2 linked regions of the Caenorhabditis elegans genome follow. The protein of the gene in region 1 purifies or fractionates together with the protein of each later gene. This does not show direct contact. Each region holds a gene or a part of one and is shown in the gene's direction. Other genes may lie near its edges. The genes, in order: B0310.2 and gldc-1.

Region 1 (9,584 bases):
ATACCCTGACCAAATTTGATGATTAGATTAGAGTTTCTCGTAACACTAACTGAAAATGTGCCATTTTGACAAAACACAAAAGCGATAATATTCGAAACTCAGAGTTAAAATGGTCAATATTGTACATTGCAATGTGACGTCATCCAATCTATAAATATCCTTAACCCCTTTTGAAGCAGTTGTCTACGAAGCGTTGGTCAATTGAGAGCGTCGTGTGCTCTGAACGAAGATGTACCAACTAACATTCTCAATACTTTTACAACCTGGGAGAAGATACTCCAAATAAATCATTATTACATTGATTGAAAACATGGACGAGCCGGGACAAGAAAATAATGATTGCAGTCGCCCTACCAACTCATAATTTGAAATGTATTTCATGGTTGAATTTTTTCAAATCATGTTTATTGGAATTTTTTGAATATTGGAGTTTTTTTTTGGAATTTTTTCAATAGAATATGACAGTACCAATTTTTATTGCGGAATCGTCATGGTAACAAGTTGGCTGCCATCTAACAATTTAAAAATTTTTTTCCCAGAGAAAATGCTTTAAAAAATAATTTTAAATTGTCAACATTGAAGTTAAATTTGATTACTTTTAAACTTGAATTTAAAAAAAAAATATATATATATATATAAAAATATCGAGGTCCGCGATAGACACATGTGCTTCTCAAGAAAGTCGGGGACCGCGCTCTAGGTGCGGTTCACGCCTGGTTTGAATATAATTGACAAACAAAAAAATAGTTGTATTTCTCTCTGTAAATAAGTGAACTTATGAAAATAATTTGCTTAAAATATGCCCAAGGGTTCGGAATATTTTGAATGTATAAACCTAAAATGTGATTAGATAAATATCAGATAGATAAGACTTTTATTATGGCAAGAAGAGACTTCAGAAAAATAATTCAAATGCTTATTGCGGTTCAAAATTGTGATAAAATTAGCTTTATTTCATCTCAAATATTTTTTCCGTGACACAGCTTTTAGGAACTACCATTTTTAGAACTATCACCGTTTATTGCACATTGTGGTTTTTTAAAATCCTATGTTGTTGATTGAGATACATTCAAAGCCGATAGGTAGCCAAAAATCACTCAAAAAGCAAAATTTGATATATGATATTTTAGCTAAAATTAGCTACTAAAAAAATATCTGCAAAACCCAATAAAAATTGTTGAAAATATTTTTAAGAAGTCACATATGTAGTTAATTCAAGCATACTCAGCGTCTATATTTTCAAAATACTCAAATCCATTAGTAATCCTTTAAGTTCAATCAATATATTTTTATTAATTTTATATAATTTTCATTGCTTCCTTAATACCACTAAAACTAGCATTTTCCAAAATTGGTACTGCAAAGTTACCCTAAAAAATGTAAATTCATAACATTAGTGACCAGTTATAAAAATTTTGAAATTCATGCTATTTCCTAACCCCATGCCGAGATCACTGATTTTTGAAACAATCGTTTTACATCTAGATCCACACAGAAAAAAGTCCACCTACCATACCAAAACTATCTTATCACCGTATTGTCAAAAATAGCAAGGTTCCTTTGTTCTCTTGATGATGAGTTGATTGGTGCTCACTGGTTGCGATTAGATATATTTTTTTCATCGGTTTTCAACATTTTGTGTGACTCTATCGATAACGTAACATCGAGATAATTGGTGACTCATTCAAGTAATTGAAATTGTTATGATAAATTTTCAACATCTTTTTTTGATATTGAGCGTCAATATTGGAAAAAAATTTGAAGACTTTAACTTAATAAAAGCCCTTTTCTTCAAAATTCTAAGTAGCCCTACCCATTCATTCCGCCAAACGGAAAAAAAGTTCGAACCCAATAAGTTCCATTTTAATCACATCATCATTTGTCTCCTCATTGAATTAGAAACTATTCCTCTTCTGAATATCACTATTAACCCCTTTTCTCATTACCATCTTCTGTAGTATATCTCTAATCGTTTTGTGAGGGCAGGAGAGAGAGAGAGAGGACACCGCCCATTTCCCGATATGCTCTGTAACAGCGTCCGTACATGGGAAGTGCGCGATTGCCAGGATCACCACTTTTTATGGCCCGTTGTCTTCCTGGTTGGCTCTTTGCAATATGCAACCGTACTTGCTTTGGTGTGACGTTTTTTTTTCGAGTTGTGATGTTACTATTCATGTTTCTACTATTATGAATTTTATTGGTAATTATCCTCTAATTTTTTGAACATATTGAGTCTAAATGTGTTCGAATATTTCAGAATGATGAAATATTAGTAGAATTTGGAAAATTTTGTTGCAAATTTCAAGCTTAGCATTGCACTTCAGTTTGTTATTGTGTTAATTAAAAAAACTATTCTGACAATCAGAGCAATAATTTCATTCTGCTTTCTGATTTTTTGTTTCTTCTTTAAAAAAATCCCAAATTCCAACTTAAAAAAATTGTTTGAAAAATTTGCACACAGTATCTATTTGAGCTGTGCATCAATTAGTACGACACTCGAAATGATAAATTAAAAACAGGCAAAACAGCCAATTATGCTAAAAAAAACGTTTTTCAAATCAAAACTTAAATTCAACTATAGAAGCTGTAACTGAATTTGGCCCTAACCCTGAACTGACGCGAGAACCGTAACACCTTTTTGTATCTCAATCATAAATTGACGAGGAGGAATATCTCAACCGCGATTTCGCAGATCCTTATCAGAACAGATTGTACAAAATCACTCTTGTTGTAACTCCTCAAGAGTGTGTGTGTGTGTGGACAAATGACAGGGGGGGGGGGGGCGAGAGAAAAGGAAACGGTCGTCGTCTTCTTTTTCGTCCTCCTCCTATTTCCTTCTCCTCCTCACAGTTATCATTTACACGCCTACTTTTGCCCTCTCCCCTCCTCCCCCGTTTCTGCTTCCCTTTTTCATCGTCTTTTTCTACTCCATATTCTTATTTTGATTTTCCTCGTTATTGAAATTTTATAGTCTGTCACCTTTTTTCTCAACGATTGTTCTTTTTTTTGAGGTCAACAACGATGGAAAAGTCACAACCCCTCTCGGAATTTTTTTCAAAGCAGTTGGTGGATCCAGTTTCTGATGCTTTGAGGAGCCACACGTGTTCAGAGCAGGAGATGACATTGTTAGAGTCAGCAATCGTGCACGCTCGGGATTCACTACTCGAGGAGATTCAAAGGTTAGATTTCAGCTTTTGAAGAGAAACTTTGGAGGTGCTTTCATGTCCTAAATAAGGTTTAAAACGTTATTTTTATCCAAACGTAAAAATTATACAGGTACCGTATTTCCTCTATCAGCCCTGCAAGCAATACTATTTCTAAATTGATCCGTATTGGTTCACAACTAATAGAAATCGCAAGAGGCTGCAAGACTAATTTTCGACACTGCTTTGAAAAAATAGTAAATTTTGGACACAAATAGTTCAATTCTGAGTATTACATACTTTTCATCAATTCCGTTAAATCTTTTGAAATTTTAAAGTGTTTTCTAGGAGTCCCCTAAAACACGCCCAGTCTCGCAACGGCTTGCTCCAAAACAATTAGAGGCTGGTAGGGCTGTTAGACTAATGAGGGTGAAAGTTTACTAGAGGCTGCAAGACTATTAAATGAAATACAAAATTCAAGTTTTTTGAAGTTTAAAAATCTGACCAAAGCCACAATACAATTCACGTTCAGCTTGTAGAGGCTCACAAATCGTGCACAAATGGGATAGGCAGTAAAAATTATACTGGCTAGATACCAAACGTCCAGAACAGTTTTTTTTTCTTTCAGATCCAAGATCTCCGAAGATGTCACCCAAACTGTTGATTGCCTACTAAGCAGAGTGGACGAACTGCTGGAAGAGGTTAGTTCAATTTTTGTTTTGAAATATTCTACAACTAATTACCATAATTACCTTTCCGCCATCTTGATAACCATCACACTTTCCTTTGCATTCTTGTATTTCCTCACCTCAATTATCCTGTCAAAAACGTTTCAGACCCGAAACTTCGCACCAATCTCCCCACTCTCCTCTGAAGCACCAGATATTTTGCCAGCAATGATTTTGTTCAACTCACTTTGCTCTTCAAAGTCGTTAGACTTGGAGCCTATTGAAATCAAAGTAGAGGCGATGGAAAATCCCGTTGTGTCACCGCCAATTTTTTCCTCAGATGATTCCGTGAAAGGGGTGAGGCAGTTTCCGTTTAGTGTATTTCAGTGTATTTGAGATTCCCACACATTTCCCCCTATTTTTCAAATCGCATTTCTTCGATCACATTCTTCTCCGCCTTTCCATAACTCTCTACCACTTTTTTAACTGGGCAAACACAGCATAATTTGAAATGATTCTATACTTTCTATTTCACATTTTTCTTTTCATTTTTTGCTATCATATTATTTTTATTTTATTCCATTTTTTTCAGATGCCATCTCGTAAGCGAGCCAAGCGAAGTTTGGAGGATACCGTTCAAATGTTGTCCAAAGAGAATTCAGTGTCCCCTCCACCACCTTCACTTCCATTTGTCCTACCGCAGATCCCAGTTCCCATTCCATTTTCAAACGCAGCATTAATGCAGCGATGGCTAGGGCACCCATTGACAAACCCTGCATACTTGAACGCAATGTTTCAACATCAACCTGCTCCAAAACCGTCAGAAGAGCAATTTGCTGCTTTAATGAAAATGTAAGTTTTACTTCTTTGTCAAATTTTTTTGTCTGTCAACCCTTGTTCAACTGTATCAGTAGGCGCCTCCCGGCTGACGCATTCCTACCTTTTGTTTATTTCACACAAAACAAATGAGAGACAATTGAAACGGGTATGGATGTTGCTGCTCGTTGTGAAAGTTTGAGAAGATAGCGGAGGGGGAGGAGTATAATAGGAAAACTACAGTAACCGCCCGTCCCCGGAGAAAGAGAGACAGAGTAAAGGAGGTAACTTGCCCCCGGACCGCATTCTCGAGAGAAGGAGTGACGACGGTGATGATGAGCGTAAACAAATGTAGGTGATAATAAATCAACTGGTAACTGGTCTGATCATCTTAAATGGATGGCAACCATAATTTTGTTGCAGCCAGAAAAGCAATTGATTTGGCATCCGGGACATCAGAAAGAGGAAGATAGTTAGCCCGAACAAAAAAAGCAATTTACAATGGTTCACTTTTTGTTGTTCTTGTCACTTCAGATAAGAAAACTGGATGACCTTATTCATTTCAAAATTGAATAAATCTCCTCGAAAACCACCTAGAAATTAATCAACACTTCAACGCGACCAACACCTTGATTGATCGTGATGAATGTCACCCTTATCTTGATCAAAATCGGAGTAAGTGAGGGAAATCTCCACTTCTCAATTTGAGTGTCATGTCTCAATCAGCACTATAACTTTTGAGGCATTCGAATTTTAAAAAACTGAACAATAATTTTCCGGAAACCCCGTTAGAATGGCCTTGTAAGAATAGCGGGGTAGGCAATCGCATAAATAGCTCAACACCAATTTCGACTAATTCGATGTGAGAACTTCACTAGTCGGCGCCCTTTGGAGTAGGTTATATCGTGTAGACAAGTGTAGATTACCATCTGGAAAACCTCTTTGCTTCTTCCTTTCCACTTATTTGTTAAAAATCAAAAATTAGGGAATCAGTGAAGAGGATTGATGTGTTGCGGAACAGAGAAAGAGAGAGAGAGAGACACGTCGAGATTGAGGGCGGTTACTGTAGAGGGTATGGACACAACAACTTGCCGCAATTGAGAAACACTAGATGCAATGGAGAGAAAAAGAAGGAGGTAATTCATTCGTCGTCAAGATTGATTACCAATTGAGTATGGAGGAAATGAGACTGAGAGGAACACTGATAAGGATGAAGACGAGCGAGAGATATATGTATAACGAAGTGGGAGAAACAATTTAAATTCAAATATTTATGGGGAAAGTGGATTCTGTTAATGAGGGCAATCCGAGGAATGAGAGTGACTGATAGATAGATTCGGTTGAAGATGATCATATATATATATATATATATATATATATATATATATATATATATATATATATAATGTAACTTATTTCTCAACCATTAAGAAGAACTAATGAAGATCCCCTTCAATCTGAGCTACATCCCAGTATACATGGACCTAGGGCTAGCCAAAATCAAGTCACACCTTCTAATAAGTCATCTTCACATCGTCATGTTAGTTTGAAATACATATGGGGGCAGGATAGCTTAGTCGGTAAAGGTAACCACTCACAATCTGGATGTCACGAGTTCAAGACCGGCCTCACCACCAGTCTCTATTTGAAAATGGAGCAATCCACGCCTGGATTATGGGCCACAGTCCTCAGCTAGGACGTGGCTTAAGTAAGTAGCCCAGCGGACGAACCGCCAGGCAGTGTACCTGACTCCCAGATCCGCAGTGCATAGTGCTTGAAGACGGGGTCGTCTTTTAATCCTTAATTTTAGTCATAATAATTTATGATTGTGCTTTAAAAAAAACGTAATTAGGGTTTTCCATTTACTAGTGATTTGGATGCACACTTAGTCGTTATGAGGATCTGTATATAACAATATTTCTCTACTAAATCTCTGTAACTTTTGATTGCGAGAAGAGAAATGCTCGAAATTCTAATGTTCATCAACAGTTTCTATCCATAAACAAATTTTTGTTTTCAGAACCATGCACGCCGCCAACTTTATGAAAACCGTGCCACAACTGCCAGTTTCAAATCACTTCACAGAATCTGATGCAGAAGATATAAAAATTGACGTGGAAAGTGACGAGGGAGAGATTGAAGTGTCACCATCACCATCAACTGGTGATATCACTGAAAATGAGTCGTCATCGTCTTCAACCGGACCAATGATATCACCGAACTGTGGAGATGGAGACTGTGGTGAGTTGCTTTCTTATACTTTTTTTAAAATCTCTATTAACCTTCAACTTTTCAGCCCTGGAGAAACCGTTCATATGCATGCACAACAATTGCGGCAAACGGTTCGCCAACAAGTTCCTCCTTAAAAAGCACATGTTCATTCATACCGGCCTCCGTCCACACACATGTCCACACTGCCACAAAAAGTGAGTAACTTGCCCAGTCTATGCTTCCCTTTTTGTCTTTTCAAACAAAGCGCAACATAATATTGTCATGTGAGGAATGAGACTGGCGTCCTTGGCACGTCGAATTTGACCCAAGTGATAATGAGAAGCAATTTGTAAAGTAGTTATGGTGATAGGAAGAATGATTGGTTGAAGAATGATAAGAGTTCAAGGAATTTCTAGGAATGATGGCATCTTACTTTGAAAACTATTACCTTCCTTTGACAGCTTGGTTTTACTTGTTTTAAATGTTAGAAAACGAGTTTACAAAATTAGGTTAAAAATTAGGTTAGGTAACAAAAATTAGGTAAAAAATAAGGCTTTTCAAATATAAAATGAAAAAATGGAAACCCTAAAAATGGAAACGAATTACATGTATATTTTCAGATTCAACAGGAAAGACAACCTGCTACGTCATAAGAAGACCCATTCACCGACGAGTGCTCATTTGGGGCCAATTCTACCCAAAAACCCCTTCCACGGGATTCCACAGCTTCCGGTCCTTCATAATATTGCCCTCACACAAGGCTTCAGTCATTTCCATGCTCTGAAAATGTCTCTGGAAACTGGTGCTACAGCAGTGCGTAGTCTTTCCTAACTGACAACTTTTACACTATGTTTTGTGCTACTTATGTTTCAGCTGCTCACTTTTGTCATCTTACTTTCCCCCTCTTTCCTTTATTAACCATATCTATCAAGTCTGTGATTTAAAATTCAAAGATTCAAGCTGTGTTATGTATATTATTTCCTTTCATATTTTCTTTTCCAAACTGGGTATCAGTATGACTAATGTGCAACCAATTATTTTCCCATGCACTGCACTTTCCTTTACCACTCAATGCTTTAATTCTTCTAAAATCTGGAATTTTTATTTTTTATTCCTGATGTTTTTTTTATGGTTAAGATTTGATGTCAGCAATAAAATTGAATTTAACGTATTTTTTCAAGATAGAAAAACGGGGAAAACTATTCCTTTTCCTTTATTTGAGCTTCCAAGTGTCAAAGAAAAAAATTTGTAGTTAACGGCAGAGGAACATTTTTGAACTAAGAAAAAGTTCCTATCCATCTTAAGAAGTTCAAAAAGTTATTGAAAACCAATAAAAAAATTTTCCATTTATAATAGAAAGTCACAATTATTGAGTTTTCGGCAGTTTTTAAGAAAACTAATGCACTGTCGCATGTTCAAAACTTTACAAACTTTTAATATTAATATTTTAAACATAAGTAGAAAATAAAATCAGAAGGTATCGATTTCAAAAAAAATGGCGTGGCCTAAAACAATGTTCCCAAAGACGCTACTTTACCATTGAGCTCTATTGAAAAAACTTTCATTCTAAATTGTTCAGTTGAAAAGTACCTGAAGAGCTTTCTTTTATTAATTTCAAACCACACTTAAGTTATCATGGATCTACAAAAATCCACCCTACTCGAAGGCAACCTTGAAATCATTAAAACCTAAAAATTAGATTTTTGTAGCTATTAAACGGTGTTCAAAAGTTAAAATCAAATACCTTATTTCCTCTATTCGTATTGCACCCGACTACTTAACTTTGAAACGGTATATCTCGGCTCATTTTAAAGATATCAATATATCATAAACAACAAATTAGTAGAAAAATAACTAACAAATATTTTGTCAGTTGACAATACTTGAATAGGACAAACGATAACTGAAATATAAGCTGTCAAAGTTGAACAATTGGGTGCAATATTAATAGAGGAAATACGGTAACTATTTTAATAATAGGTTCATAGTGTAATAGTTTACCTTATGTCCCATCAGTAATTGAAAAAATATTTGAAAAATGATCTGTCAAAGTTGAATTGGGTATACTGATAATGTATTTTTTCAGCTTTAAGTGGGAATCATTTTGAAATTGTTTTGAAAGTAAATGTTTGCTAACATAAAATAATGATAAAAATACAATTTATAATAAAATTTAATATACATAGAAACTCTTGAAAACTTTTAGAAATACTTGTTATGTAAAAATAATTTCAAGTTTTTGTGGGAAAGAGTTCAAAAGTTTTTAAAAGTTTTTAGTTCCTGTTTTCTTAAGTTCACAATGATCATACGCTATTGAATATTTTGACATCGATTAAAAATCTTACATAGACGATATGAGTTCCAAGCCATGAGCCCAGGGATAACCTCAAATACGGCTGCTGGAAACTACCAGATAGGTAGACTTACATTGAATATTATTTACACTCAGTAGGTTTCATTGAGTTCTTTTGAAGCCTTGCAGGCAGGCACGTTTTAATGTTTGTATAGCATTACTTTATTAATTTTTGTCTGCTTTGGCAAATGTCCAAAAAACGGACACAGTATGTGTTACTCGTTCATTCTTTGGCCTGCAAAAATAACCAGTTCACCCGTACACACTCATTCACTCATCATTATCTCTCATTTCTTTCGGACACTAGAAAAACGGTTGGCAAGAAGGAGAGAATGAAAGAAACAACCGATTGTTGATAAGTCTCTTTTTGTTACTGTTACAAGTTGATATGTT
Region 2 (8,709 bases), on another chromosome or scaffold:
TTTACATATTCGGATTTGATATTTTATATTTTCTATTAAAACAATTCAGATTTAAAATTAAAAAAACTCACCAATGGCTCGGTTCGATGTTAGTTTTTGTATAAAATCGTCTCCTCAATCCTTCTGTTTTTTCAGTTGTATTTTCAGCCAAGTCGAGAAATTTTAAAAGACTCGGACAAATGCATCGACATCGTGTATCTTCGAAGTTAGCCTGAAAATATTTATTAAATTATATCTTTATAAAAGTAGTTATGAAACAAACCTCAGTCCCTGCTTGGGATAATGCGGGAAGAAACAGTAAAGCAATAAATAAATATATCATTAAATCTGAAAAAATTACGGAAGTTGGACTGTATTTTTTTTTATTTTTGCAAGAAAATAAAAAATGCTCTGAAAAATAGAATACAAGTAAAACAAGAAGTGCGCCAGTGCAACTTACTGGCGCTTTTCGCGATGGCTGACGCATTCTTCGTTTCACTTTTATGATGTTCACAACGAAAATCGAAGAAATAAAAACTTGCACTTATTTTTGTCTTAAATTTCAATTTTTCTTCTGCTTGTTGAGTAATTTTTCAGTTCTCAGTCTAAATTACTTGCTAATTATCTTCATTTCAGTCTGCATGAATACTAATAATCGATTTTTCGCATTTTTTTTGCAATTTCTATCCGGTATTTGTCTTTTTTAATTCATTCGTTACTATTTTCAGTCATGTCAAAAGGTTTTGCTTTCAAACCGTCTGCTTTAGCTGCCAAGGCAGATAAACTGTGGTCAGATAGTAAGTTTTCAATTTTGTGTTATGTTATCTAAGTCACGTGAATTTGCAGGCAAAACAGAATACACAGCAACTCATTCAACAATCAACCACGTTCATTTGGAAAAGAAATCGCTGGGCGATATTATTCCGAAATCAGCAGATGCGCCTGTTGCAAATGAAAAAGTTCGTTGAAACACAATGAGTCAAAAAATTCGTTTTCTTCTAATTATAGGAAGTCGAAGAGGCTCCACAAGCATTTGTTTTTGGCTCCAAAATATCAGATCGTGTTGTGAACAAAGAAGGTGATTCAACAAAGCCGGGTGGTTCAGACGAAAAGACCATGACAGCAACTGAGCTCTTCCAAAATGCAGTTAAAAAAGATGACGATGTAATCTATATTTCGAATCAATATTTCTATTCATAATGTTAATTTCAGAAAAATGGAGCCAAAAACTTCAGAAAGGAAGCTGAACAAGAAGCGGAGAGAGCAAAGGAAGCCGAAAAGCAGCATGCCGGAACGAGTTCAGTCGAAATCACCACCGGGGAAGAGAACGATACTAATATTTTCCAAGTGAGGCAGTATTCATTAAAACATAATTTTTATTTATTTGTCTTTAGGCTCCTTGCAAAATTTGGGCGTTTGATAAATTGAAAAATGCCTACTCTGAAAAGGGTGTCTGCAATCTCAGGATCAACAAACGAGTCGAGAACGGACTGACGCACCACCGAATTGGTAAATACTGATAGTTAGAGTTTATTGTATTCAAAATTATTTTCAGTGGCAAGAACATCTTCCGGTACTCTTCGTGTCATCATAAATTCCAAAATTTTCTCTGATATGCTTTTGGAGCGGGTCGACAAGAGAATTCGAGTGAGCTTTAATGTTATATGAATATATGTTTTATTGTTACTGTTTACAGATTTCCGCAATGGGACCAGAGATCAGCGGTGTTCAGATTTTCCTTCTAAAAATCGGATTCACCAAAACTGAGACGATCCCCGATTCGGATATATTCTACAATATTATGAGCGACCTGCTGAAATTGGAGAAGGGAGAGAATAGTCGGAAGAGGAAAGCGGATTGTGATCTGAACGCTTCAACTGTTAAAATCAAGGATGGAAAGGAAGAAGAAGAAGGTGATCAAGATCAAGTTGATGAAGGATTTGTCATTGTAAACAAGCCAACAGAAGATGAGGTGAAAGAAGAAAAACCAGCTGTTACAGCTGCCGAAGAATCTGCATCCAGCTCAACTCCTTCCGAATAACCATATCAGTCATTGCTTCTTTCAACTTCCCCTGTGCTCTTTTTTCTCCTTCCAATCCCCACAAAAATGGTCTCCAACTTTCACCCAACTCAAATCATTTCCCCTTAAGTCTAATTTCTTTATTGCTAAAAATTTCTTCTAGATTTCTACCAATCTGGCCTAACTTTCCAATTTCGTTTTATTCTTATATATCCCGTTTTATGTGTTTGTCGAATATATTTGGTTTGTGAAAAAGAGAAGAGTTTGCAATAAAAAGCAGAAATACAATCAAGAAGACACTTAGACAATGGCGTTTCGGTTATCAGTGGCGCTCTTACTGAAGGAGGAGGAGAGCGAGATAACGATCGTTGTGGGGTGATCGATTCAGAATTCAATTGGCAACACCATGATCATTTATCACCTTGTCAATTCTGTAGCATTGTTTCAGTAGGAGAAGATTTTTTTGTAGTTAAATATCAATTTTGAGTATAACAAACGCGATTTTTGCACCTAAAATACGGTAGCCGGTCTCGTCACGACAATTTTTAATACTTAAAAAAAAATTGTATCAATTTATTTATAAACTCTAAAATAACACCGAAACACTTCAATTTTTATAAATCTAGAGGAAAAATCGATTCCGCATCAATGAGAGTTTGAAGTTACAGTACTCCTTAAAGGTGCACACACCTTCTTGCATTTAATAAAAAGTTGTCGCGTTGAGACCCGGTACCGGTTTTTTGGCGTCTTTGTAATAAACCCCTTTGAATTTAGTTTTGAAGTTTAAACTTTGAAGTTCAAAGTTTGAAATTATCCCATAATATCTAACCACGCGTCGGGCGTTTAATATCATAAAATCAAAAGTCGAATTTTTTTTATCTTATCAACAATTGGAGTACACGTGTACCCACGATATTTCTCGATTTGTACTATTTTAAATATTTTTTCTCGGAATAAATTCTCTTTGCCTGCCATTTCTACATTCTTGTTTCATTTCATTTTACTACTCGTGAATCTAGAACCTTCACTCATCTCCAAAATGGTTCTCCTTGGACGAGGATTACTTGCCGTCGGGCGTGTTGCTTTTCGACGTCCGATGATTGTACGACACCTTCAATATGATGCTTTTGTTGATAGACATATTGGACCAAGACGATTGGAGCAGCAACAAATGCTCGATTTTATTGGATACAAAGTTCGTGGCTTGATTTTCCATTACTAATGGTATACACAGTTATTACGCAGCTGCAGAAGTTTACGATTTTTTACGCTGACATACGGTCTCGTCACGATCGGAAGTTTTTCTACCGTATCCGCGAGTATTTCGCAATTTTATAATGATCCGAATATTTTCAGGTTTTTGATTGAAAACACGTTAAAATCGAGCAAAACTTTAATTACTTCAGAAAAACTTTGCTAAATACTTTTTGATACGGTAGCTAAAAAGTTTCGACCATGTCGAGACCGGGGACCATATGTCCCGCAAAAATAATTTGCGATGTTGGCATTGTATCTCCTATTTTGTTTAATGCATTTTCTGAAGTTAGAAACGCCTGAGAATTCTGTCTCATAATAACCTTGAAATTACAGGATCTAGATGATCTCACCGGAACCAATGTGCCAAATATGATCAAAGCAGAGAAGGCTCTAGAGCTTCCAGCACCACTTGACGAATACAAGATGCTCAAAGAGTTGGAAGCAATTGCAGCACAGAACAAGATTTATAGATCTTATATTGGAATGGGATATTATGATACAATTGTGCCAGCTGTCATTTCTCGTAATATCCTTCAAAATATTGGATGGATCTCCCAGTATACTCCATACCAAGCAGAAATCTCACAGGGAAGACTTGAGTCTCTTTTAAACTTCCAGACTATGGTAAGGCATGGTTTGATGCCTATGAGTCTAATATATTATGTTTGAAGATTGCTGAAATGACTGGTCTCCCAACAACCAATGCATCTCTTTTGGATGAAGCCACAGCTTCTGCAGAAGCAGTTGCACTGGCTGCTAGAACTACAAAGAGAAACAAAATTGTCGTTGACTCATTCTGTCATCCACAAAATCTTGATGTAATCAGAACTCGTAGTGGACCACTTGGAATAGATATTGAAGTTTCTGATTCAATTGAAGGATATGCGTTTGATGATAAAGTAGCTGCTGTAGTTGTTCAATATCCGAATACTGAAGGAAGAATTCATCAATTCGACGAGTTGATCGAAAGTGCTCACAAGAATAAGTCATTGGTGATAATGGTGTGCGACTTGCTCTCGTTAACGATTCTCCGATCACCAGGAGATCTTGGTGCAGATATTGCTGTTGGATCGGCTCAACGATTTGGAGTTCCATTGGGTTATGGAGGACCACACGCTGGATTTATGGCTGTCGCTAAGCATGATGCGAAGAATGCATTGGGAAGAAATATTCCAGGAAGAATCATTGGAGTTACTAAGTAAGTGGTAACCAATTTCTGGGATCAACCTATCACCAAGACTTCACATTTAAACTTTTCTTTTTTCAGGGATGCAAATGGAAATCGTGCTCTTCGCCTGGCTCTTCAAACCCGTGAGCAACACATTCGTCGTGATAAGGCAACCAGTAACATTTGTACTGCTCAAGCTCTTCTTGCTAATATGTCAGCTATGTACGCAGTCTATCATGGTCCACAAAGACTCACTGAAATTGCCAGAGGAGTTCACAAATCAACTGCATATCTTGCTTACCGTAAGTTACTATGTAAGTTACTATATTCATTAAATCTTTAATTTAGATCTTCGAAATGCTGGTCACGAAATTGTACACAAGGACTACTTTGATACTTTGAAAATCCGTCTGAAGGATAAAGCCGCTCTTGAAGAAACGAAAAAGAGAGCCGAGGAAATGAAGATGAACTTCCGTTATTATGAAGATGGAGATATCGGAGTTTCATTGGATGAGACTGTTAAATCTGAAGATCTTATGGATATCATCTACACATTGAATGGAGCCACAGAAAAGGATGTGGTTAGTTTTTGACTCGAGATGTAGAAGAAAGACTATCACATTTATATGTTTAGACCAAGCTTCGTGAAGAACGTTGGGAAGTTGCATGCCCATTAATTGGAAACTCACCACATTCTAGATCATCACTATTCCTTCAACATCCGGTATTTAATACTCATCAGAGTGAACAACAGCTTGTTCGATATATGAAACGATTGGAAAATAAGGATGTTTCTCTTGTTCATTCGATGATTCCTCTTGGCAGCTGTACCATGAAGCTTAACGCATCTGCTGAACTTATTGTTTGTTACTTTACATGTTGGCCTTGAAATTTATAACTATCATTAAGCCTATCACCTGGCCAACTCTATCATCTATTCATCCATTTGCTCCTGTAGAGCAGGCCAAGGGATATAGTCGTATCTTTGGAGATCTTGAGAAGTGGCTTTGTGAAATCACTGGATACGATAACTTCAGCTTGCAACCAAACTCTGGAGCCAATGGAGAATATGCTGGACTTCTTGCCATTCGGAATTATTTGATTCACAAGGGAGAGGAGCAGAGAAATGTAAGAAGAAATAAAAAGTTTGTTAAAAACTTTCAGTATTATTTTAGATTTGTCTCATTCCAACGTCTGCACATGGAACTAATCCAGCATCTGCTCAAATGGCTAATATGAAGGTTGTTGTCGTGGACTCAGATCATCACGGAAACATCAACTACAAGGATCTGGCAGCTAAAGCTGAGAAGTACTCAAATCAATTGGCAGCTATTATGGTCACTTATCCATCGACTCATGGAGTATTTGAGTCATCGATTCGTGATGTTTGTGACAAAGTTCATGAGCATGGTGGACAAGTTTATCTTGATGGAGCCAATATGAATGCTCAAGTTGGATTGTGTCGTCCAGGAGACTACGGGAGTGATGTGTCGCATTTGAACCTTCACAAGACATTCTGTATTCCACACGGAGGAGGTGGTCCAGGTGTTGGACCAATTGGAGTGTAAGTTTGAAAAAATGTGAAAATTTGCAATGTTTTATTATAGTAAAAAACATCTTGCTCCATTCCTTCCTGGTCATTCAGTTGTGCCAGTTGATGGACGTAAAGTTGGATCAGTTGCTTCTGCTCCGTATGGTTCAGCAAGTATTCTTGCAATTACATGGGCTTACATTCGTATGATGGGGCCAGTTGGTCTTCGTGAAGCATCTCAAGTAGCAATTCTCAATGCTAATTATATGGCTAAACGACTCGAAAATGACTACCGTATCGTTTACAAAGGTAAGTTGGCTCGTAGTTTGGTAGATGCATCCTCCCTGGTTTTCAGATGAACAGGGTCTTGTAGCTCACGAGTTTATTATGGATTGTAAGCCATTCAAGAAGCACGGAATTGAGGTTGTTGATATTGCGAAAAGATTGATGGATTATGGTTTCCATTCACCAACGATGTCGTGGCCTGTGCACGATTGTCTCATGATTGAGCCCACCGAATCAGGTAAGGTTTACTTTGTTCTGAAAAAATATATAAAATAACACAATTCAATTTTCAGAAGACAAAGCTGAAATGGATCGTCTCGTAGAAGCTCTTCTCTCAATTCGTGAGGAAATTCGTCAAGTTGAAAACGGAAGTCTCGATAAACATCTGAATCCATTGAAAATGGCTCCACATACTCTGGAAAAGGTGACCTCGGACAACTGGAATATGCCATACTCCCGTGAATTGGCTGCATTCCCGAAGCCTTGGTGTACCCATAAAGCATGGCCAACTGTCGGAAGAGTCGATGATCAATATGGAGACAGAAATCTTGTGTGCACATGCCCCCCAATTGAATCATATCAGTAATAGTCGTTTTAGATTAAGTTTTTAATTGTCGGGTCCAATTTCTCTGGTTTTCATTATATTCGAAAATAAAGGAATTTACTAAATACATTTGCACAATGACATATAAACATTAGAAAGATTAGTGCAAAAAGACTACTCAGGCAACTCAAATCTAATCTGAAAATATTAAATAGCAATCTTTTTGTAGTAAAAACGAGAAATAGTGCGTCCATATAAGATTACTAAAAATTTCGAATAGATTTCAATTTTGTCTCAAAAGATTACAATTTGATCTCAAAATATTGCGAAAGTGTGAAAATTTCTAGGTAGACTTCGGTTTTATCTCAAAAGATTACTAATTTGTCTCAAAAGACTGCGAGCTCGTCTCCGAAGATTGAGATTTCATCTCCGAAGATTGAGATTTCGTCTCAGAATATTGCGATTTTGTCTCAAAATATTGCGAGTTTGTCTCTAAATATTAAAAATGCATTCATCGACTATTCTAGAACTATTTTGTGATAACTCGAAGAACTTTTGTTGCCATTGAGGGGAGTTGAACTTGTCCGTCGCTTGTCGTTGAGTCTATGAACCATTATCTTACCTGATGAGCCATCCTGTACGTGTCGCATCTAGATTTAGTTATTGCTTAAGTAAATAGTTAATGGGCGCACGTCCTTTTCGTTACTTTTGATGGGAAATCAGTGACTTTTCGCAAATTTTCAAAGTGTCAGAGCGAAATTGGATAACTTTCTTTGAAAGTGAATGTGGAACAACGATTTATTTGTTATGCTTTTAAAAATGTTAGAATTGCAATTTTTCCGATTTTTTGTCAAAGAGAGAATAACATTTTATTTTTTCAATATTTTTTTTCACTAACAATTTGATTAAAATGATGAGTATACTGGGAACATGCTTGCTGTTGACAATATTTTATGATTTCAATTGAAATCAGAAAATCTCAAACGATAATGTAGATGAAGTCGTTTCCCCTCGAGCAACCTTCACATGAGTTTCACGAATAGTTTGTCCGTACGCTCGAAGAAATGATTGAATTTTCTCGTGCAAGTTCATAAAAGTTATTTTACACTTCTTCGGTGCTTTTTTGCATTTACATCTGCAAAAAGAAAATAAATATCGCCACAATTAAATTTTAAGTCCCACTTTTCCAAGTCCTCAGCACAAACTGCACACGCTTCAATTGTCTTCAGATGGCTTTCACCAAGCAACAATTTTTTCATGCTTTCTTCATTTTCAATACATTCAATGTCGAAATAGAGACAAACAGCTGAAAAACGCGGATTATTTACTCAGTTTGCAATAAATTGAAATGGATTACCAGCTTTTGAGTGAGTTGTAGTAAGTAAGAAATGCATTCTCCGAAGATCGACATCGGAGAGAAATCGCCACAGTGAATCTGAAAATAATGTTTACTCAAGTTCTTACAATAAATTCAATACCTCTAACATTCATTTCTACATTTTCGGATTCGAAAATCTCGTCTTCCTCTTCTGTTTCTTCTGTTTCTTTTGAATCATCATAAGATTCCTCTTCATCTTCGTATTCTGTAGAATCCGACTCCGATTGGAGGTTTTCTGCAATTATCGTTCGTTAGAAATGCCACCTACAAAATGTGTTTTCTTCACCTTGCTCATGTTCCATCTCTATTCTAACAACAGAAATTTCGCCCATTCCCGGTCCATTTTTTGAGTTCTTGTTGATTTTCTGAGCAAGTTCGGTCAGAATATCTCTTGTGAACGGTCGGATTCTTTGACGTTTCATCTAAAAAAAAATCATTTATAAAATTTTAAAAATATTCAAAATATTCAGATAAAAAAATACATTTTAACTTTGAACACAACAGAATTGTAGAAAAAACAATTCAATAATTCGTTGAAAAAGAAACG

The links.
Region 2: the proteins of B0310.2 (region 1) and gldc-1 fractionate together in Caenorhabditis elegans (co-fractionation; one large-scale study listed by BioGRID). This does not show direct contact.

The regions. Positions count from the first base shown.
Region 1 is NC_003284.9:500,371-509,954, reverse strand, and holds B0310.2 (Putative zinc finger protein B0310.2), read left to right. Parts: upstream 1-3,011; 5' UTR 3,012-3,021; coding exon 3,022-3,179; intron 3,180-3,771; coding exon 3,772-3,844; intron 3,845-3,979; coding exon 3,980-4,168; intron 4,169-4,403; coding exon 4,404-4,663; intron 4,664-4,836; exon of another isoform or gene 4,837-4,947; intron 4,948-5,968; exon of another isoform or gene 5,969-6,036; intron 6,037-6,647; coding exon 6,648-6,868; intron 6,869-6,923; coding exon 6,924-7,053; intron 7,054-7,458; coding exon 7,459-7,669; 3' UTR 7,670-8,008; downstream 8,009-9,584.
Region 2 is NC_003280.10:6,047,402-6,056,110, forward strand, and holds gldc-1 (Glycine cleavage system P protein), read left to right. Parts: upstream 1-3,018; 5' UTR 3,019-3,038; coding exon 3,039-3,194; intron 3,195-3,589; coding exon 3,590-3,880; intron 3,881-3,927; coding exon 3,928-4,454; intron 4,455-4,523; coding exon 4,524-4,726; intron 4,727-4,772; coding exon 4,773-5,005; intron 5,006-5,058; coding exon 5,059-5,286; intron 5,287-5,333; coding exon 5,334-5,552; intron 5,553-5,599; coding exon 5,600-5,988; intron 5,989-6,031; coding exon 6,032-6,264; intron 6,265-6,310; coding exon 6,311-6,478; intron 6,479-6,533; coding exon 6,534-6,826; 3' UTR 6,827-6,906; downstream 6,907-8,709. Other genes in the region: R12C12.6 (Transmembrane protein 9), read right to left, coding at 72-211, 263-466; ran-5 (RanBD1 domain-containing protein), read left to right, coding at 710-776, 826-938, 988-1,143, 1,192-1,326, 1,374-1,488, 1,535-1,626, 1,676-2,020; R12C12.7 (Zf-AD domain-containing protein), read right to left, coding at 7,754-7,919, 7,967-8,090, 8,142-8,219, 8,263-8,397, 8,449-8,584.